3 linked regions of the Arabidopsis thaliana genome follow. The protein of the gene in region 2 interacts with the protein of the main gene of each other region in a pairwise test. Each region holds a gene or a part of one and is shown on either strand. Other genes may lie near its edges.

What was found.
Region 1: the proteins of SHL1 (region 2) and ATXR5 interact in binary tests that used the Arabidopsis thaliana proteins (3 or more experiments, as listed by UniProt).
Region 3: the proteins of SHL1 (region 2) and SCE1 interact in a two-hybrid assay, tested with the Arabidopsis thaliana proteins (one study listed by BioGRID).

What each region holds. Positions count from the first base shown.
Region 1 is NC_003076.8:3,038,444-3,042,842, forward strand, and holds ATXR5 (TRITHORAX-RELATED PROTEIN 5), read right to left. Parts: upstream 2,719-4,399; 5' UTR 2,528-2,718; coding exon 2,173-2,527; intron 2,073-2,172; coding exon 1,992-2,072; intron 1,728-1,991; coding exon 1,498-1,727; intron 1,403-1,497; coding exon 1,302-1,402; intron 1,216-1,301; coding exon 1,003-1,215; intron 921-1,002; coding exon 761-920; 3' UTR 537-760; downstream 1-536. Other genes in the region: AT5G09780 (Transcriptional factor B3 family protein), read right to left, coding at 1-41. UniProt on the Arabidopsis thaliana protein: Histone methyltransferase that specifically monomethylates 'Lys-27' of histone H3 (H3K27me1). Has much higher activity on nucleosomes containing H3.1 than H3.3.
Region 2 is NC_003075.7:18,217,128-18,221,923, forward strand, and holds SHL1 (PHD finger family protein / bromo-adjacent homology (BAH) domain-containing protein), read right to left. Parts: upstream 3,198-4,796; 5' UTR 3,008-3,197; coding exon 2,935-3,007; intron 2,853-2,934; coding exon 2,507-2,852; intron 2,278-2,506; coding exon 2,209-2,277; intron 1,627-2,208; coding exon 1,494-1,626; intron 1,237-1,493; coding exon 1,171-1,236; 3' UTR 502-1,170; downstream 1-501. Other genes in the region: RD19 (Papain family cysteine protease), read right to left, coding at 1-199. UniProt on the Arabidopsis thaliana protein: Chromatin remodeling factor that binds to methylated histone (e.g. H3K4me2/3) to prevent their acetylation (e.g. H3K9K14Ac), likely by recruiting histone deacetylase (HDAC) complexes, and thus regulate the transcription of target genes.
Region 3 is NC_003074.8:21,427,960-21,432,307, forward strand, and holds SCE1 (sumo conjugation enzyme 1), read right to left. Parts: upstream 2,440-4,348; 5' UTR 2,152-2,439; coding exon 2,083-2,151; intron 1,957-2,082; coding exon 1,873-1,956; intron 1,386-1,872; coding exon 1,233-1,385; intron 1,141-1,232; coding exon 1,027-1,140; intron 935-1,026; coding exon 872-934; 3' UTR 537-871; downstream 1-536. Other genes in the region: AT3G57880 (Calcium-dependent lipid-binding (CaLB domain) plant phosphoribosyltransferase family protein), read right to left, coding at 3,239-4,348. UniProt on the Arabidopsis thaliana protein: SUMO-conjugating enzyme that accepts the SUMO proteins from the E1 SUMO-activating heterodimer SAE1/SAE2 and catalyzes its covalent attachment to other proteins with the E3 SUMO ligases SIZ1 and MMS21.

The sequences.
Region 1 (4,399 bases), on a different chromosome or scaffold from region 2:
CTCTCTTCTTTGCACCAAAGAAAATCAGGGTTACTTGCCATCTCTCTCCTTTGAAATGTTCTGATTCAAGCTCTCACCTACAAGTTTTGCTCCTTCAACTTGCTCGTCTCTCTCACTCTCTATCTCCTCTCGTAATATTTTTCTCTCTGTCTTGTTGAGCCGTTGAATATGTAGCAAAGCACCACTTAAAATTTCAAAGATATGATTCAATCAAAGTGGTCAAAGTGAAAAAAGCTTTCCTCTCAATACTGAAACTGTAGTACAATTGTGACTTCATCCTTTTTGGATGTGTTCATTTAATTCATAGCATGCGATTATTATGCATAACAGATGAATCTCTTTTGGCGTTAATACATTTCGGTGACTGGAAATAAGAAGTACGACACTAGGCAAGTACTGTAATTATACTTTTCTGTTTAGGTAATGACTGTATTGGATTAGTTCTTCATTTTGATAAATTTATGAAGAAGAGTATAAAAGAAATTATAACTTATTTGGCAACCACTTAAGGTGGTGAAGTTGTCTCCAAGAACATATAAGAAAAAGGTTAGGATTTCATTTGATATCAAACAAAAGTTCAGCAATTGACATTTGCCACATCTTAATCTCTGTAATGTCATTCCAAATCCAATTATTCTACCGCTAACTTCATAATTAAAGGCCATATATTCAGCAGCCCTACATTTATAATTGACCTGTAATATGGCAACAAAAAGAACATCTGATCTAGAGACTCTGTAGAACTGTTAGAATTGAAAGATCAGAGGAAGTGATGAGTAGGATACTCATGTTCATAACCATTGTAGTCATAATAGAGCCTTTCCCCTTTCGATATATCGCGTGTAGCCACTAGAAGAACTCGACATTCGCCGTTTATGCTATACCTCACGCATTTGCAGTTCTGCTTCTTCTTAGCAACCCTGCAACAATCAGTGTGATGTGATGATTCAATGTTATAAACCAGTTTAGTGGGGGGAAAACAATTTTGAATTTGTTGCTTACGGATTGTGATTGTTAATGCCATTAATGAAGCGAGATATGTTTCCAAACTTGTCTGGACAGATAACAAGAGTCTTTGAAGGATCTTCTGATAAAAGGAGAGTCATGATGCTGTCACAATCGTCTTTTTCTCGGTTTTTCAAGTAATCAACATCCCCTGTATATTCAGCTATGAATGTTAAGTCCTTAATAGGACCATCTGCTTCAACTGTGTAACTGTACAAACGGAATAACCAAAGAACATGTTTACAACTCCACTTTGTCATTATGGGAAGGTTGATCGAAGGAATAGAGAGAGATACCCTTCAAGCGGATCAAATACCACAACGAGAGGAGGGCATTCTCCTCGTCTATACATAGATTGACATTGTTCCAATGTCTCTAAATCTTCTTTGCATAGCACCTGCGAAAAGTAAAAACCGAGATAAACAATCAAGGAAGTAACTTAAAATAAGAGAGTTATGGATAAATGGCTGAAAGATTGTTTTTGTTTATTACCTGCATCCCACCTTTCTCTAACTTGGATTGATTTGCAGACCGAGGAGCCATTCCGGGAACATAATTTAAACCATCGCTGTATTTGATACCCAATGCCGTTAATGCAGAAGCAAGTGTTCCCATTTGTGCAAGCCTCTGATCAGGATCTTCTGATGGAACCAAAGGTAAGAGTTTTCTCCTTCTTTTCTTCACTGTCAAAGAGCAAGATCGTCTCCGCTTTCTAGTTTCTTCTTCAAAACAAAGAAATCTCAATCTCAAACACTTGTTATTAGTTTAATCCTGAAGCATCTATGATCTATGTATATGATATGTATAAGTTCTCATCAATGCTTATTAACCCTACATAAGGTGCAACAAAATTTCAAGCATATAATAGGCCAAAGTTAAGCTATTTCATATTCATCTAACTATTTAATCAAGTGAAACATCTCGTCAGATTCATCAACTCAAGAACTTTATGATCATATCATGAAATCCAAAAACAAAAATCGCACCTTGACTCAATTCCAATTTGTCTGTTTGATGAGTATGCTTCTCAATCCGAAAGAAATGTAAAATCTTCTTCTGAGATAACCCTAAACATTTCACCGGACAAGAGAAAAATCCATTTTTTTATTAAACAAAGAACACAAGAAAATTAGGAAATTTAAAAGCGAAGAAACAAAAAATCCATACTTCTTACAGGTCGTTGGTCGGAACAATCGACACAAAGCCAAGTTCCAATGGGGACACGAACAACAATGGGTCTAAGGCATTTCATGTGAAAGCCTCTATCGCATTTGTCACAGAGAAGAAGCTCATCGTCTCCTTCTCCAGAACCACATTTCTCGCAGGTGACGTTACTGTAGCTGTCTTCGTCTTCTTCTTCTTCTTGTTCAACCACAGGGACAGATTTCGCCATTATCTCAGCCATTGATTTCATCTTCCTCGGTGGTGGAGATTCGGAGGAAGGGCGTCTCGCTGGAGCTTTCGTTCGTCGCCTCGATGAGCAAGGAGACGCCGCAGGGGAGGATGCGTTCCATGTGGCCATGACGGAAGCTCACGACGAAGAGTCGCCGGAGAACGGGATATATGATTTTGATTGGTTGGGGCTAATGTGCACCGCCGCGTGTGCGCACGAAAACTGATGTGCGCATCACCTGGAGTGTAATTTGGGATTCTTCCTTTGAGACTCTTCTTTATCGGCTCTTTTGTTTTTTTGACCTTTGACAAATTCAAAATTACTGGTATGTCTTAAAAGGTTTAAACATTGTAAGTGATACTAATAAATTTACAACCATTAAAGCCTTTTAATTGTTACTAAATTTCTTAACTAAATTTTACTTATTTAATTTACTAGGGATTGATATAAAAATTAATACAGTATTAACTATACTATACAAACGTAATTACAAAAATAGATATCTTTCAATTGAAAAAAAATATATGTTGGTGGGCTCAATACAAACACAGTAAACGTCAATTTCGTCAACTGAGCCACCCCAACGCCAAGCCCAACAGTCGGTCCGCCTCATTGGAGGCTCAAGTTCTTTATTTGACAAGCTAAACCAAAGTGTTCTGGTTTGACCAACAATGTAATATTACATAAATCTGAATCTATAAAATACAAAATTTAATAAATTATGTCTTATGGTTTAACATAATTTTCTGTTTCCGATTTAAGAATTTTTCGCCATATTGATTTTCATAATTTTATATACATATATAATATCTTTCAATTGTAAATTTTTATCTTATAATTTTATATATGAATAGTTTTCTCTATTTTTTTCAAGGTTTTTAATTAATAAGAAATTGCGGTGTTAGCGTTAATGAAATAGTTATGGTATAGACTATAAAGAATAATATACATAATTGGAACAAGTGAAATGGTTGTTTGATATATTCTTGACGATGAGAGCAAAACTTTCTTATCATATTTTCTGAACCGGGGTGTATGCTAGGTAATTTTGTGGCTAAGTCCTTTATTAAGGTTGTTGCACTTCTTCACAAGGATGAAAACTTAAGTCTTGCATCGGTGGATGCTTCAAGATATTCATATATGCTCGCCATGTAAGTTTTGCTTATACTAATACTGTTTAAGTCATAGTATTCCAAAAAAATCAAAGAAATAAGACTATTACTGGTCCATCACAATGGATTCCCTTCGAGAAGCCCGCATCGATCTTTCTATGCCTTATGAGTTTTGTCCCTATGAATATGAGGAATATGAAAAACATTCTTGACCTTGCTTCTACTACCGTTAAAGTATGATGTCTCTCTCTTCTCCATGTATCTTGTTACATTCATGCTTGACCAATTTGTTTGTGTTTCATTCATGACCAGTTTGCTTGTGTGTTGTAGATGATGCGTCATTGCTTCGATTATTGGCGTAGTAATGAATTTCCCTTGTTTAAAAACCTTGTTAAACTATCGTTTGAGTCTAAGACGAAAAAAGGTTGGAAAGTTCTTTGGACTCTGATAAAAAGCTCTCCCAATCTAGAAACTTTGATCCTCAAGGTTTGTATGTATAATATGATCTCTTTTTCTCTTTCTCAATTATAAATTTAATCTCGGAGTTTCACTTACTGTGTGTTCTTTTCTTTTCTATCCGTTGTTTCAGGGTTTTCAGTGTGTAAGTACTTGTGGGTATAGCATTGATGGAAATACGTTGAAGGTGTTGGAGTTATACGGGTGTAGAGGGAATCTTAGAGAAGTCGAACAAGTGAGGCTGTTCTGTCGGAAAGTGAATTTCTTCAAGTAATGAAAGTGGAAATTGGTACTAAGGTTGATGTTGACAAGAAATTGCAACTCACCAAAGACCTCCTTCCTTATCCTAACGTTCCTCCAAATGCCAAATCCACTTCTTGTAATCTTTTAAATCCAATTTTGTTTTTGACTGCTCAATCAATCAAGATTCAGT
Region 2 (4,796 bases):
CCTCGTTGGAAGCGTAGACCTTCCCGAACTTCCGCTTGAAGAGAGAAAAGTGATCCTCTGAGGTCAAAACCTGAGGCTCGGCTCCACCAACCACCTGACGGATCACGAGATCATCGCCGTCGTTGACATCAGACGACGAAACCGAGACGATAAAGAAAGACAAAACGAAAACGGAGAAATAAAGCTTAAGACGATCCATTTGATTTGCAATTAGATTGAAGGAAGCAGAGAAGGATTAATATAGATAGAACCCTCAGTAGATTATCACACGCAACGTGAATGTATAGGTGTATGTATAGGTCTCTGCTACACGTCTTTTTCCCTTTGGAGATTAGCTTTCGGTTTCTTTTAAGATAATTTTAAAAGATATTGTTGTCATCATTATTATAGTCGGAGAAAAAATCGGAAGATATTTATGGTATTTATTATTATTTTAAGATGCCTTATCCAAGGGGAAAGGAGAGAGTTAACCAATGATGTAGAACCACGTGTTAATCATTGAATGGGTATGGAGTAATGGAATGGGATAGGTTCAACTTGTTGTTAGCAGTGCCGTGTTGTCTTGGATAATATTAATTCTCTCTTTTCTAAAAACTTTAAAAAATAGTTCTATCTTCCTCTTTTTCTGAGACAAATGTAGAAGCTCATGATCGGTAGTTGCCATGTTTCTCTTCTCTGATTCATTTATTTATGTTCCCAGTGTACTAAAAATAATTTGTAATGTAATTTTATTGATTTTTAGTGTACCTCCTGGTTTTTGGCTGTACTTTGAACCAAATTATGAAGACACGATGATCAAATATGTCTCTTTGAATATGCGTTTTAGAATTAATAAAGAATGAAAAACTAATAAAGAATGAAGGGTTTCTAGAGTTCACAATGAAAACAAACAAATAAGGAACCAACACTCTCTTTGTTTGTTTGTTTGTTTTGTTTTCTTATTATAAACAAACCATTTTACCCAAATTTTATATGTGACAACTAAAGGAGATGAGAAACCACCATACGCTATACATATAAATTATACAACAATCAAGCCAACAAACCTAAACCCTCATTTTTTAAGAAAGAAAAAACTAGAGAGGGAAAGAAAACAAAACCACCTTTGTAGATTACACGATTGATACTCAGACTCACCAACCAGATATCTATAGCCTTTACAAGTTTATGTTAACCTGGTCGCTTAGTGTGTTTGTTCTTCGATTTAGTTACCTCCAGGCTGCGCTTTCCATTCACCTGTTAGTTAGGACAAAACATTTCACAAGGTTGTCTTTGACCTTAATGACACATATACTTTGGGTTTATGTGTTTATTCTGCCTTAAGTTGGTATATTTTATCAGTCCAAGAGCTTACAATTGTTGGCAAGGCTAGCTTTATATGTGGAACGAACGGTCAACTTAAATACCTTAAATTTATTCAAGCCTATTTGCAACGGGTTTGACCATCCCTCAAAAACTAAAGATATTTTCTGAAATGAGAAATAGAGAAATACCTTAGCATCTCTGTTATTGGAAGTTGAATTAGAGTTGTGCAAATTCTGCTGTTGTGGGGAACACTCTTCGCAGTAGAAGTTATCTGGCTTTTTAGCTTCCTCTATTGTTGTTCCTATACAAGAAGGATGAAACCTGAGCCAATGTTAGTTTGCTGTAACATCAAAGGCAACTGACAAAGACATTCGAAACAAAAAACCTTAATCCTCTCTTTACAAAAAAAAAAGTAAAAAGATTAAGCTTAACACTTAACAGTTCCAACTTCCAAGATCAAACGATCACTATTTGTTTCAGTATGACTTCATTTACGTTACTTGTGTCATATAGCAAGCTAACATGGGTGAAAGACCCAAGGCACAAACTAAGAAGCTGCAGAAAAACCCAAACCTTAACAGCGACTCAATCAGTAACGTGTAAGAAAATTTGAAAATCCGCAACATATACATTAGAATGTTAATCACAGATATTACAAACGTTCAGACTAGAGTATCAGCTTATGTTCCTATTCATCTGCAGTTTCCACAATATCAGATAAGACAAAACATGAACATGAGTAAGGAAGAGCATCACCGAAGTAAAGCATGACAAAAGCATTCATCTCAAGCAACCTCAATAGCATATCAACTAGGACCTCATGGATACACGAAAAACATACGAGCAATTCCAGATTGTGACTCAAGAAGATTAAAACAGAGTTTCAAATAAGTGAACACTTACCACTCAGAACACTCCTCGCATTGCACCATCAAGTCATCTGGGTTATACGGCATCTCACACTTGCAGAACCTGCAAACAGAAAAAATCAATTTAAACTCAATTGATTACTTCTCTTTGCAAAAACAACTTCATGAAACCAATTTAGATGACAAATCAATGAATTATTAACAATCAATGCCTACACTAAAGCAACACAATCTAATTTCCAAAAAAGCCTCAATTCAACCGATAATAGTTCCATCATTCAATCAGTATTTTCTTCTCGAATAAAGTAACAGAGAGTCGTAGGAACACATACACGGTGACTCTGTCAGGATCAAACGCGCCGGTAGTGGAATTGTACTCGAAACGACAGAAGAAGTCGTCGTTTCCAACAGAGTCAAGTTTGGTGTAGCTACTGAAACTGTGAACCTTACACTTTCCTTCAATCGTATCGGCGCTTTGAAAATCGAAGTGGTCAGAGAGAAAAACCTCCTTGGCTCCATGGAATTGTCTCCTCCCTCCGATAGATTCCTCAGGGCGATAATACCACCTCACACGAACTTTCGCGTGCGATCCACGCGCGTCCGTCTCGATCGCCTCTACCCTCGCTACGTACGACGGTTTTCCAGGCTCCGACGACCGCATCAACACAGCATCTCCCTCTTTTTAACCACAAAACAACATCGAACGATTCACTTTCAATATCCACGAATTTCAAATTGAGGATGAACAAGTCAGACGTACCTTGAATACTCTTGTTGATGTGTTTGAGTTTATAGGACTTGAGCTGCTTCCTTGGAGCTTTTTGCTTGGGCATCTGAAACTGAAAGGTGAGTAATGGACGATGATGAAGCTCAAGGTTTTTGCGAACAGTTTTTCTCAATGAATACAGTCAAGAATCATCAATCGCATGTCTCGCGGAGTACGGTAAGAACAAGTCATGAGGATCTCAGGAGCGTATGATTGGGTGTACAATGGCAGGATCGTGAATATAGAGGAAAGAAAGGGAGAAAATGGGTAAATAGAATGTCAGATAGCCAATTGACCACGTCAGCTTTTAAGTGGAAGCGCGTGTGTGATACGCGCCTCTAGGCCGCTCCCTTTTGTCGTGAATCATGTAAAATTAGCCACGTAAGCAATTACTCATTATGACTTGTCCTGACTTTGTCTTTGTGTGTTGCATGTTTTCAGATAAATAGGAAATGCTAAGGAATATTTTAAGAACCTTTCAATTCTATATTTATTCACTTATTATTCAATTCTATGCGTACGTATGATTACATTCGAAAGGATTTCCAACATTTTTGTCCCAATAAGCAAATTGGAACAAACACATCCAAATCTACATAATTTGCGCAAGAAAAAAAGATAACCACAAAAAAAAGACATAAAAACAGTAAAGAAAATCAAAAATTGGATATGAATGACGCCCCCACACACTGAACTGAAGTTTGTGTTTTCAGTGTTGGGTTGAGAATAAAAACCAAAGGAGCTACTAAATAAATTGAGAAAGTGTAAGCTTCTTTTTTCCTAAGCAACACAAGGTGAGGAACAGTGGGTGCTACTAGAGACCCTTCGACAAGGGTAGTTTGAGAAATTCACATTGCTGTTAATAGCTGCAGAAAATGAAGATGAAGATGATTGCTTGTTCTTCTTCTTCCTCTTCTTGTAAGCCTCATCATCATCATCGTCATCAAAAGTTTGGGTTGGTTTCTTCAGATCCTCAAGGCATTTTACATCTGAGATACATATGAATGATCTCGCTTTTCCTGAATAGTACCTTGATAATCCTCTCCTATTTTACAACCATTCACAAAATCCAAAATTAGATAGTAATCCGGATTTCCATAACTTAAACAAACAATCATAATCAATGAAATCCTTTTTCAGGATTTTACTTTTTGGGAAGGTTGTTTCTTAGCTCTCCCATATCAAAAGCCAACCCACTTATGTTTTCCATGATAATAGATATAAGCGAGGTAACAAAAACAAAATAAAACAATAATTTGGGTCTCTTTGGCTTTTGTGGGAAAATTTAAGCTATTCATTTCTATATATACACATAAGAAGAGAAAAGGAAAGAGAACTCATTTGCTTAATTGAAGGGAATGGTTTCTATTTCTGGGTTTATGTTTTATTTTACTTTCATGGTTCTCTTACTTTTTGCAGAATCTGTGACTGACCCTAATCTTTTCTCACCTATACTTCCTCTCCTACAAACACTTGTGAAGAGTTTGATATCCAAACATTTACGATTGTGTATGTTTACATATACACAATATTGCAAGGTTTCTACAATGATTAGATGGAAAAATTAATGGCTTTCCCTGATTAGAACCAAACTAACCCATCTAAAGAAGGAAATGGTGTCTATGATTATTAACTAACAGAGGTCGTAAACCAAACACTAAAATTCCATTCAATGAATCAAAGCTTGAATCCAATATATAACAACACACAAACCATTGAGTTCCTTTTCCTTAATATTACTAATTCAGGTTCAAATGTGACAGCTTTAACTAGAGTTTACACTAGACAACAAAGTACGAGAATAGGTTACCCTTTTTTTCCAAAGACTATGGGAGAACGAACACATTATTCCCCAG
Region 3 (4,348 bases), on a different chromosome or scaffold from region 2:
TCTAATGACATATCTTCACAAGTTCGGTGGTTTCTTAGACTTGTATCATTTTCTGATGATTTTATTAGAAGCGTCAATCATCTTTTGACGATTTTATAGGATACTCGTTTTGGAAAATCATTGTTCTGATGATAGAATAGATCAGGAATCATCTGCTGATGATGATATCATAGGAAAGATTATAATAGTTCACACATTTCATATCTGAAGTGTCATCACTTGTAGACGATTTTGGCTTGTTGTTGACTTTCAATAATTGAGTTGTATATAAGTATTGAATGTTTGGTTTTATTGCTTTGTAACTGTTGACATACGGTGTTTGCCTATCTCTTTCTGCACACTTGATTTCGTAGCTAAATTCCAAGTTCTGTTAAATATTCCAAGCTTTCTATCTCAATCATTGACAAAAAATGTTCCAAGTAGCAAACAATTTACTAACAAGCACTAATACTACTTCAAAAGTCTAAAATCAGTGGAGTATAAATTTTAGAGGAGTAAGATTTTGACTTTCAAGTGTTAAGCGTAGTTTCAAGTTAGAAATATATGTATTTCTAGATTCACAACTAAGATTCGTTACTCTATGGAATGAAGACTTCATATTTCACTTAGTAGAATTTGGACAACACTCATGAACGACCAGAGAACATAATTATGTATTATATAGAAGCAACACCAACTGAATCAGTACCAAGAATATTAACAGTTAAATAGAGAAAGAAGAGTTTTTTTTCGAAAATAAATAGATTCCAGTGTCTTAAGGTGCCAAAATGAGGAGTTTTCAATCACCCAATGACATCTAAACATAATGACACAAGACGAGAAAATATTCAGAGCTTGTCATCAGTTTTGGTGCGTTCTCTTTTTTGAGGTTTTAGACAAGAGCAGGATACTGCTTGGACTGCAGCTTCACCCTTTTCTTGTACTCAACTGGATCCTGCACAATAATCATCAACAATCACTCGACTTAGTTCCTTCCTATGTTTCAAAACCTAATATTGTGTTTAGAGTTTTCATTTCTAAATGTACCTGACAGAAGAGATGATAACCATCTGTCTGTGCAGGGTCAGCGGGATTCGGTGTGTCAAGTAAATCCTGAATACCAACAAGAATCTGCTTCACGGTGATGGCTGGTCTCCATCCCTATGGATATACACATAACAAAAGAGAGCTTGAGGATAAAGCTGGCTTTTGCTCATGGAGAAATGCAAAGAAAGAAACAGTAGAGTACTTACATAATCCTCGTTAAGGATAGAGAGACAGACAGTTCCAGATGGATAGACATTAGGGTGGAAAAACCCTTGTGGAAATTTACATTTCGGAGGTTTGCTCGGATAATCCTCACTGAAGTGCATCGTTAATGGAAAGAATCCACCTTCCCAATCAGTCTGCAGCAGAGAAACATGTAAAATTAGCTATAAACAACAGTAAAGATTGATATTAGCAATTGCTCTTGCAGTAACACTCTTATTAGCCATGTCAAAGTAAGATACACAGCAGAGTTCAGTTTCAATGTCGTATTCAAGACCAAAATCATATGCACCAATAAAAAAACATCATACAAGATAAACAAGGAGATAGATACACAGCTACTCTTCCCACTAACATTCATATTAGATAATCTTCCACGGCTCTATGTGTAAGCAAATATGAGAGAATCATCAAACAGAATCACAAAGAAAAAGAAGGGAAGAGACTGGTGAAGCTTAAAACTTTGAAGAACTAAGAATCAGAAGATGATAAAAACAAAGACTTTAGCCCAAATCAATAAACCCTAATTTCAATCTCTTTTTTGTTGCTACTAATACAAACCAGAAGAAAACAAGCAGAGGAATAAGAAAACTGAAGAAACCTAATTTCACGATTGATACTTACCCCAGCTTTACCAGGTATAGTGCAATGCCACACCATTAGATTCACAGTTCCATCCTGCCCCGTCTCCGGCTTTGCCACAAAACCCTAAATTTCACCATCAACAAGAAGAAACCCAATCAGTAATCAGAGACCATGAACAATCAACAGAAACCCAAAACCCATAAATCAAAATCACGAATTTGGAGAAATAGAAGACACGAAATCACTTACATGAGGATGATTCTTCCTCCACGATTTCCTCTCTTCAGCTAAACGACCACGAGCGATTCCACTAGCCATATCTCTCTCTCTCTCTCTCTTTAGAATCTCACTCTACAATATCTAAATCTCTCTCTTCTGATTTGTCTCGCTCGCTCTCCAATCTCTATCTCTCTATATATAAACTCGAAGAAGACACAAATAGGAGATTGGGGGAAGATGGAATGTGAAGTTACAGATGTACCCCTATGTTAAAGCTTTAGAAGGGTAATCGGAGTATCGTACGGTCCAGATTTCGCGGCGAATAAATGTCCTTTCGTCCTACTTCCTCCACTTTAATGGTTATTGACCGGTCAATTATTAAATTTTAACCAGGTATAATTATTATCTACTATATCATAAAATAAATGAAAAGACGTAATGAAAAAGTCAATGGATAAATGTGGCGTGAAACCTACGCGATGATACCCAAAAAAGCTACCAAAAGATTCTTTCTCTGCCATAACGTATCATCCCATTTGTCACGTGGCCCATTACCATATCTGGGCCCATTTACTTTGTGTTCTTAACTCTTAAGCTTGCTTTAATTATTCCCCTCTTCTTCTTAATGGTTGGTCTTTCTAGAATAAAAGTATCTCACCTGGCAAACATTTGTCAAACAGAATGGTCGGAAAAAAAATAAAATATCAAAGCTTTCAATGAATTTTTGTGTAAGAATGTTATTTAGCGAACATATATTCCCAATATGATAGTTTTTTTGGTTATAACCAACTTTGGATGTATTAGAAAAATGGTTTTTTCTTGAAACTTGTATTTGACCATTAGACCAAACTGTGACAACCTCTAATCTCAACAGCAACCAACCCAATGGCACCAAACTCCTAAAGCTCCAGTGATAAAACACAAAAACCAGAGAGGCATAGATTATGACTTACTAACCAGTGACAAGAACATCAAAACCACACAAGATACTTCTTTACTACTTTCAAACAAAAGTCTTAATAATGTTAAAAGACAGACGGATACATCATCACCATCACCAAGAAAAGAGTCATCATGACATTTTTAACAATGAACAAACTAAAAAGAGTCATCATGATATTTTTAACAAGAACAAACTACAAGTCTTATAGAAGTTTTCTTCGGTATTGGAAGCAGTTTTTGCAGGTCAGAGCATGCAATCAGTTCTTGCAGGAAGCCTTCTGAAGAAATTGAGAGGAACGGATGGTAGTTTGTATCTGAACCTCGGATGTCTCAGAGCATAGATTCCAATACAAAGAGCCACAACCTGGAAAGGTGTCACATAGAGAATGACTGCGGCAATCAAGCAGAACAAGACGAAGAGCGCTGTTGCACGCGGATCACGCCAGCTTAGCAGAGACTGAAGCCTTTCTCCTTGAGTTGCTAGATCACCTACCACTGTCTGAATCCTACCAGCAATACTCCTCAACCTGTCATACCTCATCCTGACTATGTCAGATGGTCGGGAAGTAGGAAAAGTGTCGAACTCTTCATCTAGCTCGTCGGGGTGGGCTGAGTCAGCGTGAGAGAGACGTGTGTCCATGTGAGGAGGATGCCTCGGTCTCCAACGGTAGTACCAGATACCGATGAGGAAGAGGTAGAGGAAGATGGTGGGCAAGATTAGTTCGGGATAGAGCACAAGGATGATGAACAAGAGATGGATCAAGACTGTTGTGATTGGATTCTTCCAGTTGCAGATTTGTTCAAACCATTTTCCTACTGCGATTAACCCACTCAAAACTCCCATAATCCTGAAAAAGTTTGCTTTGCTTCTCCGCATACTCCACATGTGAGAACCCACATCAAGCATATACTCAACTACTTCTTTCCTTAGAGGTGGTTCTGCTCGGGTCAGCCTCATCGATACAATCTGAGTCGCTTGATGCCTCAAGTTATCAAGCTGGCTAACCGTCAGTGGATGGATATAATGCATCTTCGGTAAGAGAGGCTGTGAGTACATATACATCATGTTGAGCAATGAAGAGCAAGTGAATCTCACAGCTAAGTGAATTTCTCCCATTTTCTTGACTCCGTTAGGATGGAGCACCAAAAGAGGGTATGAATGTGTATAAACTCGATCAGTCTCGAGAGTAGAAAGCCTGATTCTTACCTTCCCGATTCTTGAATCTTTTGCTCCTCCAATCTTCTCACCTCCATGGAGATGGCAGTTATCAAAAACTCCAACAGTAACAACGGTGCACGGATCAAAAACCTCCCAAGTATATTGCTCATTCCATCTTGGTGTAAAGCTGTCAAT